Pelodiscus sinensis: one gene and its partner. The protein of the gene in region 2 purifies or fractionates together with the protein of the main gene of each other region. This does not show direct contact. Links are inferred from orthologs where the notes say so. Each region holds a gene or a part of one and is shown on either strand. Other genes may lie near its edges.

Evidence for each region. Proteins that work in one complex are often made in the same cells at the same time.
Region 1: the proteins of USP4 (region 2) and PRPF3 purify together in Homo sapiens (co-immunoprecipitation; 4 studies listed by BioGRID and IntAct, with this or other methods). This does not show direct contact. The link is inferred for Pelodiscus sinensis from reciprocal best matches to the Homo sapiens genes USP4 and PRPF3.

Annotation. Positions count from the first base shown.
Region 1 is NC_134734.1:21,135,279-21,143,128, reverse strand, and holds the start of PRPF3 (U4/U6 small nuclear ribonucleoprotein Prp3), read right to left. Parts: upstream 3,152-7,850; 5' UTR 2,995-3,151; intron 1-2,994. Other genes in the region: MRPS21 (small ribosomal subunit protein bS21m), read right to left, coding at 5,552-5,732. UniProt on the Homo sapiens protein: Plays a role in pre-mRNA splicing as component of the U4/U6-U5 tri-snRNP complex that is involved in spliceosome assembly, and as component of the precatalytic spliceosome (spliceosome B complex).
Region 2 is NC_134721.1:46,560,296-46,567,540, reverse strand, and holds the start of USP4 (ubiquitin carboxyl-terminal hydrolase 4), read right to left. Parts: upstream 3,253-7,245; 5' UTR 3,204-3,252; coding exon 3,097-3,203; intron 1-3,096.

The sequences.
Region 1 (7,850 bases), on a different chromosome or scaffold from region 2:
AAGATACTGATTTGATCTTGCCTCCCAGTTCTGCCGTGTCCCTCCTTTTTCTCTGCTATTATATAGCCCACTTTCCCTCCCATTTCCGACCCATCTCCCAGGTCTCCATGTTCTTTACTTACCTGTGGGTTTTGGTCACCTGCCCCCGTCAAACCTAGTTTAAAACCCTCCTCACTAGGTTAGCCAGTCTGCATCCAATTATGGTCTTCCCCTTCCTCAACAGGTGAACCCCATCTCTGCTTAGCAGTCCTTTCTGGAACAGCATCCCATGGTCAAGGAAGCCAAAGCCCTCCTGGCAACACCATCTTTGCAGCCAGGCATTCACCTCCAGGATGCACCTCTCTCTTCCTGGGCCCCTACCTTTGACAGGAAGGACTGAAGAGAATATCACCTGTGCTCCAAATACCTTCATCCATACTCCCAAAACCTTGTAGTCACTCTTGATCTGCTCAGTGTCACACCTTACAGTAACATTAGTGCCCACATGGATGAGCAGCATGGGGTAGTAGTCAGAGGGCCAATAATTCTCGACAATGCCTCTGTAATGTCTCAGATATGGGCCCCTGGCAGGCAGCATACCTCCTGAGATGAGATGTCAGAGTGACAGATGGTCAACTTCATCCCGCTCAGAAGCAAGTCTTCAACCACCACTACCCTACGATGGTCTCATACAAGAATGATGCATTCACCAAAATACAACATACAGATCCAGAAGATGGCAAAATTAAAACTGATAAGCTACATGAAGCATTTTGTTCAAAGCATCCCCAAGTTATGCACATTTATATTCATAAGCCAATGTTCATAAAATGGACAGGGAAAGACCCATCACAGGGCTGTTCTCACTTTCAGGTAACATTATAAACAAGAAGTGGGCAGCATTATCTCCTGCAAATTGTAAACAAATTTATTTGTCTAAGTGATTGGCTGAACAAGAAGTAGGACTGAGTGGACTTTTAGGCTCTAAAGTTTCACACTGTTTTATTTTTGAATACAGTTTTTTTTTGGGGGGGGGGAGTACATAATTCTAACATTTGTAAGTTCCACTTTCTGGATAAAGTGACTGCATTACAGAATATGCTTTAGGGATAATTGAAAAATACTGTCTCAGTTTAATATAAATATTTGCACTGTAAAAAATTACAGCCCTAGAAATAAGTTAAGCGCTCTCATACATGAGTGGAAAATTATACCAAGTTCTGCAACTGAAAATTGTGCACATAAGACAAGCGTGCCCCTCGCCCCTCCGCACAACCACCCCAACTACTTCTTTCTGAGAAGCAACCTAGTACACATGTAACATTTTGGGCGGACAATTCTTACCTTAGTTATAAAACTCATTTGCACACTGGCAAAGGTTAAAACCCACACAGACACCTTTTTCTGTTGGTGGATAAAAAAATGTACCCAGAATGAAAATAAATGTGAGACATGCCACTCCACCATTGTGTGTGTACCTTTGTCAGGTCAGCAAGGGAAGCAGCACAATCTAATGGTTAGATGGAAAATGGGAGGCACGAGTCCTGATTATGATGCATGATTGACTGAGCATTGTGTGAAGAACTTATGGTTTACACCTGCTGCTCAGTTTTTGTTGGTAACCCTTCCGTCTTGTGTACTCACCATACTATTATCCTCCCTAAAAAGGCACTGGTGTTACATGAAGTATCCAGAAGATAATCAAACCTAATACAACCTCTTTTAATAGTGTGTATTTGCCTATGATGCATAGAGAAGCGACATTATAAATGGCAACAATCCCTCTTGAGGAAACCATCACTGACAGATTGATGGGACTGCCATCCAAGTCGAATTTATTTTGAAAAAAGAGCCACTCCAGGTCTTATTTCTAGGCTAGATGCTGGAGAAAAACAACTCTTTATATAGCACTTTCTCTCCAAAGCACCGCACTGTTTTTTTTTTCTTTAATCACCATACTTGCGTGAAACAAGTCAGCAGTATCTAATTTTTTAAATGAGGAATCTTGAGACAAGTCAACTTCACTTGTGTGAGTCAGTCTAACAGCATGGGCAGCAAAGCTGAGATCAGAAACCAGGAGCCTTAACTCCCAGTTGCCTGCCCTCTAAAGAATGGGTACGCACAACAGAAATAAAGCGTGCACATCTGAATGCTCCCTGATCTGAGCTAAAATAATACTGGCATTCTAGAAGAGCTGGAGATTGTTTATTTTGAGGTAGATGCACAAAAACTGAGTCTGCTCAAAGACTTTGGAGATTCCCTGAACCATTCATTGAGATGTTTTAACTTAAAACATAGGGCTAATTCACTTGCTATCAGTCACCAACAGGAGCACAGAGGCGGGGAAAGGAACACAGTGATGAGACTGGATTACCAGCGATGCTCCAAGCCAGAGCACACAGCACAGTGCCACACATACAGGGCACTAGAGTGTGTGGAGCTCTCCCGCCTTGGGGCGAAGGGGAAGATGGTTGGGAAGGATGCAACCTTCCCACATGATGACAAAGAAGAGGGCGAGGAAAGCCACATGAGGAAGGTTCCCTGCACTGCCCAGAAGATCGTTTACCAACGTAGCCGGACAGGCAGAGCGGAGAACCCCCTGGCCAGCGGGGGGAGGGGCCGTTCCCTGGTCCCCATTAAAAGGGGGCTGCTGTCCTCGCCACAGGACATGGGGGAGCAGGCTGGGAGTGCCCACGTCCCAGGCCATGGGGGCCCGTGGCTGCCACAGGAATGGGGGGGGCCGGGAGCTCCCCCCTTTCCCCGCGCAGGAGGGCCCGTCAGTTCCACAGGAATATGGGGGGGCGCAGAGACGGGGAGCTCCCCCTCCCCCAGTGCGCGGGGCTCGCTATCACGGCCACAGGAGCACGGGGGGGCCCGTGCGGGTCCTTCCCCGGGGCACGCGGGCCTCCGCGCGCGCACACGAGGCCTACTCAGCCCTCGAGCCCCGGAGCACGCGCCCGCGCCCCGCCGCCAGCCCCGCGGCCTGCCCGCGCCCCGCCGCCCGCGCGGCCTCACCTCAGCGCCGCCCGGCCCCGGCCCCGGCCCGAAACTTCCGCGCCCCGCCGCGGCGGCCTGGCTGCGTCGACTGACGGAGACGGAACGTTGGGGCGGAAGCGGAAACGGCCCCGAGCGAGGCGGCCGCGCGGGGAATCGGGCACCCGCACGTGACGCGGGAGCCTCAATCCCGGTGGGGGAGGGAGTCACGTGACGGAGAAGACGCGCCTCCCCCGTGCTCCTGAGCCCCGCGGCTCACGTATCACGTGACAGGGGTGAGGAGAGGGGGAAGCAACGGAAGTTGTGTTACGTCACATGCCGTTCGTGCTCTAGTGCCTGGGCAGTAGCGTGGGTGCGCGGAGGTAGAGGTGGGCGGGGCCAGGACAGCTGGGGTCCTGCCCCGCCCCCCCGGGGGGCAGAAGATCCAGGGGGGCTGGGATCCTGCCCCCCCAAGGGCCCGTTCCAGGCGCTGGAGGGAGGAGGAGATGGGGGGGGGACAGGCCCCAAAACCAGGGGGGCAGAAGATCCAGGGGGGCTGGGTTCATGGCACAAGCTAGCTCCCTCCGCCCCCCTGCCCCGCCCAGCCAGGAGCCGGAGGTTGGGGGATTCAAAGGGGCTGGGGTCCTGGCCCCATTGCCCTCCAAGAGCCAAATTCAAGAGGTAAAGGGCAAAGGATTGGATGCTGGCACCCAGCTTTTGCCAGGGCTAAGTAGGGAGGGGAAGAGAGTGAGGCAGGGCTGAGCTGAATTCGTGATCTCTAGCTTCCCCCTGAGGCAGACACATATAGGAGAAGACGGGGGGTTTGGTAGAAGCCTGCCCTCATGGCACCAGTCAGATATGGATTGGGTGAAATCAGCACTTTGCTGTGTTGTGCTATCAATCAAATCACCTTCTTATTTCTTCTGTGGTCTTCTTGGCCATGTCTCTTCCCCAAGCAGCAGGAGATGAGAATGTCATTGCACCATGCCAAAATGTCAGTGCAGTGCGCTCTGTACACCTGACACCTGCAGTTACCACATCACAGAATGTGCCAGAACTCCATCGTGGTGGAGTCCCCCCCAGCACACCAGGGAGACCCGGAGCAGCTTTTCTCGCCCCGGAGGACGCGGTGGCGGGACCGCTGCGCTCTGGGCGGTCCCACCGCCCGCGAGCTCCGGGGTGAGAAAAGCCGCGTTCGTAAGTGCGGATCCGACATAAGTCGGATCCGCGTAAGTCGGGGACTGCCTGTATACTGCTATCCAAACATAGCCTCTGTAAAAGGGATCTCTGACTGTACTCCACAAAGGACTTAAGTCGCATAGGATTGGCTTATTTCTAGCTGCCAAATCACATTAAAGGATATTTAAACAGAACTTAAATACTTTCCACACTGAAAGTTTGAGGGCCTCAGATGGGTTCTTGGAGACAAGCCTTTTATTTTTCCATGGGAGACAACTAATATTAGGTGGATCAACTACTGTGTATTTTTATACAACAGGGAATTGTGGAAAATGGCGCACAATGAACAGTAAAGGGTGTTATAAGATACTACACATGCGTAAAACTGTCAGAAAAAGCATGGCTATGTGAGAAACAAGATTGCACTGAGGAAAGCATTTCCAGACACAGGGACAGGAGGGTGTGAAAATTGTATCTGCAGTGGTAACGTCAATATTTCCCCACATGATTAAGAGGAACTTTAATAAAAATTGGAGATTATTAAGTGGAAACTCCACTAAAAAAAACTAAGGTAAAACACAACAGAAGCAGAATTATTCACCCAGGAATCTAAGGACTTATTTTAGTTTTTTACTTTCAATTTGGCAATGTAAAAGGACCTCGAAGTGGACATAGATATGTTTGCATTCACTTTAAGGCTTCTTAACGCTACAGAGCTGAATAATGGGACTGCAGTATAAATAAAATTAAGGCTGTGAGCCCCTACAGTCTTAAAAATAATTTGCAAATGATGTATATGAATTCCAGAATCCACATTATTTGCTGCCAATCAAGCGTAAAATAAAGGGAAGGTGAATGAAAATATTTGTGAGCATCTTTATTCTGGAATAAATCAAACCTAACTCAGGTTTTTTCCACTTTTTTCACAAACTATGCCAAGTAAGAGATTATAATTAGAGCCCTGCAGGGATACAACATTTGGATCTGTATCCATTCACAATCCAAAAAAACAGGCCACAAATATCTGTGGATTTGCAGAGGTCTAATTATAATGAGCAGCAAGCACTATTTAAAGGAATCATTCATAAAAGGAAATATATTAAAACCTGAATTAATATAGTTTGCTTATGTCTGTCACCCAAGAACAGCAGGACAACATGCTAAAATGCATACTTTTATTAACAGATAGGCACAACATAGTAATTGTTCAGAAGCTGAGAGATTTGATGGTATGATGGTCTTCAATCCTGCCCTGGTGGAGAAGAGAATTCAGTCTCCATGGCCCATTCGCTCATTGGCCTCTCAGTTGACACTAGCAACGAAGAGATCAGCTATGACAGTGGTGTGGGTTTTGTTTTATGTTTGCTTGTTTGTTTTAAAAAGAAGTTACAGTTTTCCCAGCTATTGTAATTCTTGGGATCTAAGAACCTAGCCAGGGGTCCGGTCGATTCTTCCTCATTAGAAAGCCAATCTTCCTGGCCATTTCTGCATTATAAATCCGCCGGCATGTCTCATAGGTCTCCCGCTGCCTCTTGCGACATGGTTTCTCATAGTACCGGCGCCGTCTGGCATCTTCAATGATCCCATCCATCGTTAGAATTCTGAGGAGATTAATCAATGTCATTTTGAATTCCTCTACGGCCTTACATTTGAGCACAACAAAGATTTTAACAAATATTCATTTGTTAAGTCTACATACCGTGAAGTCAATTGTCCACACAGGACAGCGGGAATAGAATCTAGAAGTCCCATCTTTCCGCCCTCTGCTCCAAACATTTATCCACACTCCCTCCCAACGAATGGCACCAATAGAGGATTTCAGCACAGTAGGCATAATTTATTAAACAGCGACAAAAGTAACCCTTCCCAACTGCCTCTCATTACAGATGATGCTCCTTTTCCAGATTCAGATTTGTCTGCAACCCTGATGTGTTCTAAACTGTTTATTTCTATAAATCATTAATGTCAGAAACATCAAGTGAGAAAACAAAGGGAGACTTCAGCTAGAGAAATCCCGCCCCCCATAATTTTCACGTTCCCGATATAAAACGTTATTCCCTGGGCCTCATTTTGGGGTTTGTCTTCTATGTTGCTGCGCTTGGCACATTGAGAAATAGATGGAGGAAAATCAAATCCCTTTAAAACGTTGCTATTAAACTATCTGGTAGCTGTGAGAAAAATGGATTAGTAGGACTGTGGCAGCTTCCTCCACGCTCTCCTCTCTATAGGCTGCAGGCTCAGACGTGCTATTCAGAAGAGGACAGTGGTGCAGAGATTAGGGAAGGTACATGGAAGTCTGATCTAGACATTACTGCAGGCAATAGACTCCTATTGCATCACCATAGAGTTGAGGAACCTTTTACCCACAACATGACGCATTTTATAAGTAAACAGACTCAGCTACATGAAGACCTCAATAAGGCTGCTTTCCATACATGTCACTGAATGCAAGCAATCTGTTTCAGCTGCATTCCTCTGCAAAGTTATTCATGGAAACGGTCTGAACGACATAACTGTGGCCAAGCTGTCCGTTATAAACAAGCAGGACTCTGTCTTTCCCCATACTGAGCAGTGCCCTTCAGTAGCGTTACTTGCCATGTCAACTTTCATTCCCCTTCTCTTACAATGGGACTACTACCAAAGTTCAGGTAGTGGCTTTCAATCGTTTCCCACATCTTTTAACAGAATAAGAGTTAAGAACTGGGAACTACGTTTCCTGACTGCCAGAAGTGGAGACAAGTTGCTAAGAAGGAGTACAAAAGAATAGCACAGGCATGTAGGAACAAAATCAGGACCAGCCTACACTAAAAACTTATATTGATATAAGTCCATTGCTCAGGGGTATGAAAAATCCACAATGTCAGAACAATATAAGTAATATCAATCTAACCTCGCCTCCCTGTATAGACTGTGTTTAGTCAATGGGAGAGCATCTCCTGCTGATCTAGCTACCGCTTCTCACAGAGGTGGATTAACTCTGCTAACTAGAGAAGCTTTTCCATCAGCATAGTAGCATCTTCACTAAAGCACTACAGCTGCACTGAGGTACCTGTGCCATTGCAGCGCTGTATTCGAAGTAGGGATGTAAGTGACTACTTGGGTAGTCGAGTCACTACTTGCCTACTCGCTCCACCTCTCCCGCCTCTATCCCAGCCTGCTGCGGCTCTGCTTTTTAAGGGTATTGAGAGCTGCCTGGCTCTTACTACACTTAAAAGACAGAGCCACAGTGGGGGACCTACCCTGGACCTACCCCCAGTGCAGCTCTGCAGTTTTAATGTGGCAGGAGCCAGGCTGCCTGTGCGCCTGGCTCTTAGTACATTTAAACTGCACAGCTATAGCTCATTGACATGGGCTGCCATGCACACAGGCTGCTCCTTGGCAGCCTCCCCGCAGCAGCCTCTGTCCATAGGGAGCTCAGACCCGAGGACAGGGGTTGCTGCCACCCCGCACTGCTGCGTCTGTATCAGACAGCAGTGTGGGGCAGCAGGCAGGCAGTCTGCATGGGGAGCTGGTTTTTTTAATTGTTCTATAGGAGCATAGAGACTCCTTCAGGCACTAGAGGAATGTATCTGTCATCACAGTGAGTCAAAGACAGGCATCAATCTCAATAGAAGGCTTAGATCTCAATAGCAATAAGAGAAGGTCCATCTTTAGGCTGAGGCCAGTCACTCAGCCTAGCAGTTTGGAAGTCCAATTTTACAACATGCTAAGCAAGGAGA
Region 2 (7,245 bases):
CAGCAGTGAACAATGGCCCTCTGCACAAAAACCCTCTCAAAAGCATGGGTAGCATGTCTACACTGAAGCACTATAGCAAAGCAGCTGGACCACCACAGCATTTTAAGGGTAGAAAAGCCCTAAGTTTTATGAGGCACTGAACAGTTGAATTGGCCTTCTCTATCCACCTGAAATGTGCCATCAGAAACCTGCCCTGCAACCCATCTTTCTGAGGCTCCACCACTGGTGACTCAGCCCCTTAAGCAGGCAAAGCCCAGGCCAGGAGTACAGGGTGTCAGCCAGGAGCTGAGACCCGCCTTACTCAGCCACTGGCTCCACTCTTACAGCAGGACACAGAGCCACATGCCAGAGGCCTGAAAGCACCAGCAGTGCCACTCAGCCTGGCCCAGCTCCGCTCCCCAGCCCCAGGCTCGCTCTCCAACCTCCCCCCCCCCAGCTCCGCTCCCCGGCCCCAGGCTCGCTCTCCAACCTCCCCCCGCCCCCCCAGCTCCGCTCCCCGGCCCCAGGCTCGCTCTCCAACCTCCCCCCGCCCCCCAGCTCCGCTCCCGGGCCCCAGGCTCGCTCTCCAACCTCCCCCCACCTCCGCTCCCGGGCCCCAGGCTCGCTCTCCAACCTCCCCCCGCCCCCCCAGCTCCGCTCCCCGGCCCCAGGCTCGCTCTCCAACCTCCCCCCACCCCCCAGCTCCGCTCCCGGGCCCCAGGCTCGCTCTCCAACCTCCCCCCACCTCCGCTCCCGGGCCCCAGGCTCGCTCCCCAACCTCCCCCCCCCCAGCTCCGCTCCCCGGCCCCAGGCTCGCTCTCCAACCTCCCCCCCCCCCCCAGTTCCGCTCCCGGGCCCCAGGCTCGCTCTCCAACCTCCCCCCACCTCCGCTCCCGGGCCCCAGGCTCGCTCCCCAACCTCCCCCCCCCCAGCTCCGCTCCCCGGCCCCAGGCTCGCTCTCCAACCTCCCCCCCCCCAGTTCCGCTCCCGGGCCCCAGGCTCGCTCTCCACCCTCCCCCCCCCAGCTCCGCTCCCCGGCCCCAGGCTCGCTCCCCAACCTCCCCCCCCCCAGCTCCGCTCCCCGGCCCCAGGCTCGCTCCCCAACCTCCCCCCCCCCCCAGCTCCGCTCCCCGGCCCCAGGCTCGCTCCCCAACCTCCCCCCCCCCCAGCTCCGCTCCCCGGCCCCAGGCTCGCTCCCCAACCTCCCCCCCCCCCAGCTCCGCTCCCCGGCCCCAGGCTCGCTCTCCAACCTCCCCCCCCCCAGCTCCGCTCCCCGGCCCCAGGCTCGCTCTCCAACCTCCCCCCCCCCAGCTCCGCTCCCCGGCCCCAGGCTCGCTCCCCAACCTCCCCCCCCCAGCTCCGCTCCCCGGCCCCAGGCTCGCTCCCCAACCTCCCCCCCCCCAGCTCCGCTCCCGGGCCCCAGGCTCGCTCCCCAACCTCCCCCCCCCAGCTCCGCTCCCCGGCCCCAGGCTCGCTCCCCAACCTCCCCCCCCCGCTCCGCTCCCCGGCCCCAGGCTCGCTCTCCAACCTCCCCCCCCCCCAGCTCCGCTCCCCGGCCCCAGGCTCGCTCTCCAACCTCCCCCCCCCCCAGCTCCGCTCCCCGGCCCCAGGCTCGCTCTCCAACCTCCCCCCCCCCCAGCTCCGCTCCCCGGCCCCAGGCTCGCTCCCCAACCTCCCCCCCCCCAGCTCCGCTCCCCGGCCCCAGGCTCGCTCTCCAACCTCCCCCCCCCAGCTCCGCTCCCCGGCCCCAGGCTCGCTCTCCAACCTCCCCCCAGCTCCGCTCCCGGGCCCCAGGCTCGCTCTCCAACCTCCCCCCCCCCAGTTCCGCTCCCGGGCCCCAGGCTCGCTCTCCAACCTCCCCCCCCCCAGCTCCGCTCCCCGGCCCCAGGCTCGCTCTCCAACCTCCCCCCTCCCCAGCTCCGCTCCCCGGCCCCAGGCTCGCTCTCCAACCTCCCCCCTCCCCAGCTCCGCTCCCCGGCCCCAGGCTCGCTCTCCAACCTCCCCCCCCCCAGTTCCGCTCCCGGGCCCCAGGCTCGCTCTCCAACCTCCCCCCCCCCAGTTCCGCTCCCGGGCCCCAGGCTCGCTCTCCAACCTCCCCCCCCCCCAGCTCCGCTCCCCGGCCCCAGGCTCGCTCCCCAACCTCCCCCCCCCCCAGCTCCGCTCCCCGGCCCCAGGCTCGCTCCCCAACCTCCCCCCCCCCCAGCTCCGCTCCCCGGCCCCAGGCTCGCTCCCCAACCTCCCCCCCCCCCCAGCTCCGCTCCCCGGCCCCAGGCTCGCTCCCCAACCTCCCCCCCCCCAGTTCCGCTCCCGGGCCCCAGGCTCGCTCCCCAACCTCCCCCCGCCCCCCCAGCTCCGCTCCCCGGCCCCAGGCTCGCTCCCCAACCTCCCCCCGCCCCCCCAGCTCCGCTCCCCGGCCCCAGGCTCGCTCCCCAACCTCCCCCCACCCCCCAGCTCCGCTCCCCGGCCCCAGGCTCGCTCTCCAACCTCCCCCCCCCCCAGCTCCGCTCCCCGGCCCCAGGCTCGCTCCCCAACCTCCCCCCCCCCCAGCTCCGCTCCCCGGCCCCAGGCTCGCTCCCCAACCTCCCCCCCCCCCAGCTCCGCTCCCCGGCCCCAGGCTCGCTCTCCAACCTCCCCCCCCCCCAGCTCCGCTCCCGGGCCCCAGGCTCGCTCTCCAACCTCCCCCCCCCCCAGCTCCGCTCCCCGGCCCCAGGCTCGCTCCCCAACCTCCCCCCCCCCCAGCTCCGCTCCCCGGCCCCAGGCTCGCTCCCCAACCTCCCCCCCCCCAGCTCCGCTCCCCGGCCCCAGGCTCGCTCTCCAACCTCCCCCCCCCCCAGCTCCGCTCCCCGGCCCCAGGCTCGCTCCCCAACCTCCCCCCACCCCCCAGCTCCGCTCCCCGGCCCCAGGCTCGCTCTCCAACCTCCCCCCCCCCCAGCTCCGCTCCCCGGCCCCAGGCTCGCTCTCCAACCTCCCCCCCCCCAGCTCCGCTCCCCGGCCCCAGGCTCGCTCTCCAACCTCCCCCCCCCCAGCTCCGCTCCCCGGCCCCAGGCTCGCTCTCCAACCTCCCCCCCCCCAGCTCCGCTCCCCGGCCCCAGGCTTCCCCTCTCCAGCCCCCCTCACCAAGACTCGCCCGGCCGCAGCGCCATGCCCAGCAGCGGCCCCAGCTCTGCCCGCTGGGCCCCGACATCCGGCATCGAGCCCCCGCCGCTCTCCAACTCCGTCGCCATATTCGTGCGCGCAGCACCGCCCACCCCCCGCGGCGGATATCCGGCCTGCCGGGCGCATGCGCAGTGCCCTCCGCCCGGGCGGCTCTTCTAGCCCTGAGCATGCGCATTAACGTGCGCTGTGGCGCTGCCCGGCCTGGGCATTCGGCCGGCTCCCTGTGGCGCCGCCGGGGCTGAAGGGCGCGAAAGGGAAGGGGCGGGGCGGGGCGGGGCGGGGCGGGGGGCAAGTTCCCCTTCCAGAAGCAGAGAGGCTAATTTACATATCAACGGTAAGAAGCCGTTTGGCTCCTAGTTAGAGGCTGCGCCGCTAGGAGGCGCAAAGTCTGTGCCTCCGCCTCACCGCGCAGCCGCGTTACCCGCCCGAGGGCGGCGCCTCACCGCGCAGCCGCGTTACCCGCCCGAGGGCGGCGCCTCTCTGCGCAGCCGCGTTACCCGCCTCAGCCTGTGCCATGTGGGTGGAGAGAGGCAGCCCCCCCCCCCCCCCCGGTGGTCCCAGATCGTTTCCGGGCCCGTCCCCAGGGCGCCGGATCCTTCCCGCAAACCCCATTCGTCCTGCCCCTCCCCCATCGTTGCCCTCGCCCCGCCGTGACGTTACGTCCGGCGAGTGCTGCCTTTGCGGCAGGGGCGCGACCCCGCCGCTCGGGGCCGGTAGCTGAATGCGGCCCGCGGGCCAGACGGGTTGCGGCCCGCGGGCCAGGCCTTGCCCACCCGCGTCCTCGCCCCGCTCCCCAGGGCCCAGGCTGTCTGGCCGGGGGTTGCCGGGATCACTCGGAACTCTCCCGTCCTGCATTTCCCTGGCGGGCTGCTTGTGCCATAAACATCCTGCGGGGGGGGGTCTCTGCAGTGTGGCTGGTGTAAGAGAATCTGGACTAAACTGACTCGGGTCTGTTCCACTTCAAGTCACGTTCCTAAAAGAGCACCCATGAAATGCGTTGCACACCCCAGGGTGCGGGGAGCGAGTATTTCTTGACCAGAACCAGACAGTCCAGATTCCACCATACTTCAAAAACGCCCTTGCTAAACAGTTTTGAAATCTGCACCAATCATAGCCTTATGTTGCCTTCTGCTTCATTGTGAATGCTAAATACAGCAGCTGCTTGGTGCTAAATGCTGCACAAGCCAGGACATAATTGTTTTACACCACTGAATGCACATTCCCGCTCATTGTGCAAGCTACATTTGAAATCGGTCTAGGCTGCCTGCTCCTGATAGCCCAAAAATACCCTTAGCATCACTTATGTTACAGTAAGAGGTGGAGACTTACGTGAAAGAGGAAGACACTTATCAGAGTTAGGCAACTATAGCACCACATACTAGCACAGAAGCCTTGCGCAGTCTGTGCAAGAGACAGACATCCTGTTTTACACCAGAAGGAGTGACAGTTGAGCAACATTGTGGCAAACACTGCAACAGTCATTTCTTCAGCCCAATGCGAAACTGGAACTGACAGTCAGATCCACTGCCCCTTAGGAACTGGCTTGCATGAGTACAGGAGAGGCAGAGACATGCTCTGGAGAATGCAGAACCATTTAGAAATGTAGCAGCTGAAGTGGTTTCAAAGTTGGGTGGGAGCTGGATCTAGCCCCCCAGCTTAATCTGATCCAACCCACAGCAGGCAGGCAGCCCCCAGCCTCGGGTGCCCACACTGGGCTGGTGCCCACAAAGCACACTGAATTAAGTGAGAGTGAGAGACAGGTTTTTTTATTCTTGTGTGTGGCCCCAAGTTGACTTTTCTGTGTGTCACTGGCCCTTGGCCAAAAAACATTCCTCAACCTTGTTCTGAGTACACCTTCCTCCTCTCCCCAAGCCAACGGGTGCTGGTTTGTGTTTGACCCACCTCAGCTCACCTGTACTGAAGAGCCTGTTGCCCCGGGCTTTGTCATAGGCTTGTTGCAGCGTCTCTGTGCACAAGGGTTAGAAATCACAGCCAAATACTGGGACTAAGCATGGCCTCCTTCCCTCCCTGTAGGGCGCAGGTGGCTTCTCTCCACCAGGAATTGGCCTGCTCAATTGTATTGACAGGCAAGCCCTCCCCCACCCCTCAGAAAAAGCCATGAACATAATTTCGCCGCTCCCGGTACCAGTCCCAACACACTGCTGCTGGGTACCTTGTTACTGTCCCTTCTTCTGGGCCCCTGGCAGGGTGCAGCTTGTATGTGGCTTGGCAGAGCAGCTCAACCTGTTTTAACTCTTCTGGAATGTTGTGGTAAACTCGCACAGCCCCTCCACGGGCACGTCCGGCAGTATGGGAGAGTAACACTCCACTCAAGCGACACGCCAGCCCCCCGGCCAGTCTGGTGAGTGCACACAACAGTTACACCCGTGCAGCTATCTGTTCACCCCTTATCTCCCACTGCCATTCTCCATGTGCACAAGCCCCAAGTGAGAGCAGAGGGGACGTATCTGTCACTTCCTCCAGGCCACGTCTCCCACGAGCTGTGGTCCCACGAGCCCCGTCACAGACCAGAACATGTGTGAGCCACTGTTGAGCCTCACTCCCCATTTGAAGCAAAGGTTTGTGCGGCATTCTCTGCCTCCTGAGCAGGTCAGAACAAGCTGCTATGACAAATACTTGTAACACCCAGCACAAGCCATGCTGAATTCAAAGTTGCAGCATTTTGGCAGTTCATTGTACTACCAATGGAAGCGTTACTGTGGGGTGACCTGGAAACACCTGGAAGACAGGATTCATGCCACCTCCGACAAGTACTGGAGTATCGCTCACACGCCGACACAGACATAACTCATCGTGGAGACAATTCGAGTGAATTGGACTTCGGGGGCAGATTGCAAACTCCCACGCGGGGCTCAGCTTTTGAAGTTACACCCTCCAGGGGTTGGGCGGGGACAGGACCCCAGTCTGCTGCTTACCTTGTACAGAGCACTTTGGAGACCCGCTCAGGAAGGAGTTAGCTGGTTCTTGTCCGGAGCACGAGGAAAACCTGCAGGTGGTGTTTGAACGACTTCCCTGGTCAGAGGCAGGTTTGCTGGCAGGCAGTGGGGGAGGGGGGGGGGTGTTCCTGGTAACGCTGTTACCTTCGCAGTAATGGCCCGACAGAAGCAGCTGGGGAGGGGGGGCACTTACAGGGGTTCCTGTCACTGAGGAGTGGACAGCAGGCTGCCTTACAGCCAGGTGTTGCTGGGGAGGTCACAGTCCAGGCAGAGTGCTGATCCATCTGGAACCCCCAGGCCAGGCAGCCGAGACACATCTTCCCGAGGAGCCCAGGATGGGGGTCCTGGCTGGGCCAGAGGGGGTACAGGCCCAGCACAGAATGGGTGCCAGCAAAGTTGGAAGCAAGCTGGCATGCCCCGGAGTGACACACTGAGACGGGCTGGCTGGGGGCAGGGCTCTGGATGTACAATTTAGATGAATGGGCTAATCGAATAGTCGGTGCAGTTTGCATCATATATTCGATTAGCCGATAGGCGCCTCCGCCTGTGAAGAGAGGCAACAGTCCCTGGGCTGCTGCTACGCGTCAAATGAGAAAGCGCTGCGGGGAGCAGGGGCTAGTGAGGCAGTCTCCAGCTGGCCCCGGGCTTCACGCAGTGTTTCAAAGTGGCAGCACCGTGTGGAGCCCGGGGTCTGGTCCCAGAGCCCGTGCGGTGCTGCCACTGTGAAGCACCCCCTCTTTTTCCCCCCTTTGCTGCCTCGGAGAGATGCAGCAAGGGGGTGGGAAGTGACTAGTCCTTCACATCCCTAGTTCCTCTGTCCCAGCCAGCCTGGCACCCAAGCAGTTGGGCAGCCCCGGGGACCCATTGTCCTGCAGTACAGGAAATGCACACCCAGCCCTGGGTCCCCCCAATCCCAATCCCTGAAGCCCCCACCCCACAACTCTCTGCCCTGAACCCCCACAGCTCTCGCTTGACTCCTGCACCCACCCACCCACCCCCAAGCACTGCACAGCTCCCACCCCCTGCAATGAGTGCCCCCCACTCACGCTCCAGCTCCCTGCCTTGAACCCCTGGCACTCGATCCCACACATTTCCACCAGGTGCTGTCCTATCACACACACCCCCAACCACTGCCCTGACCACTGCAATAGGA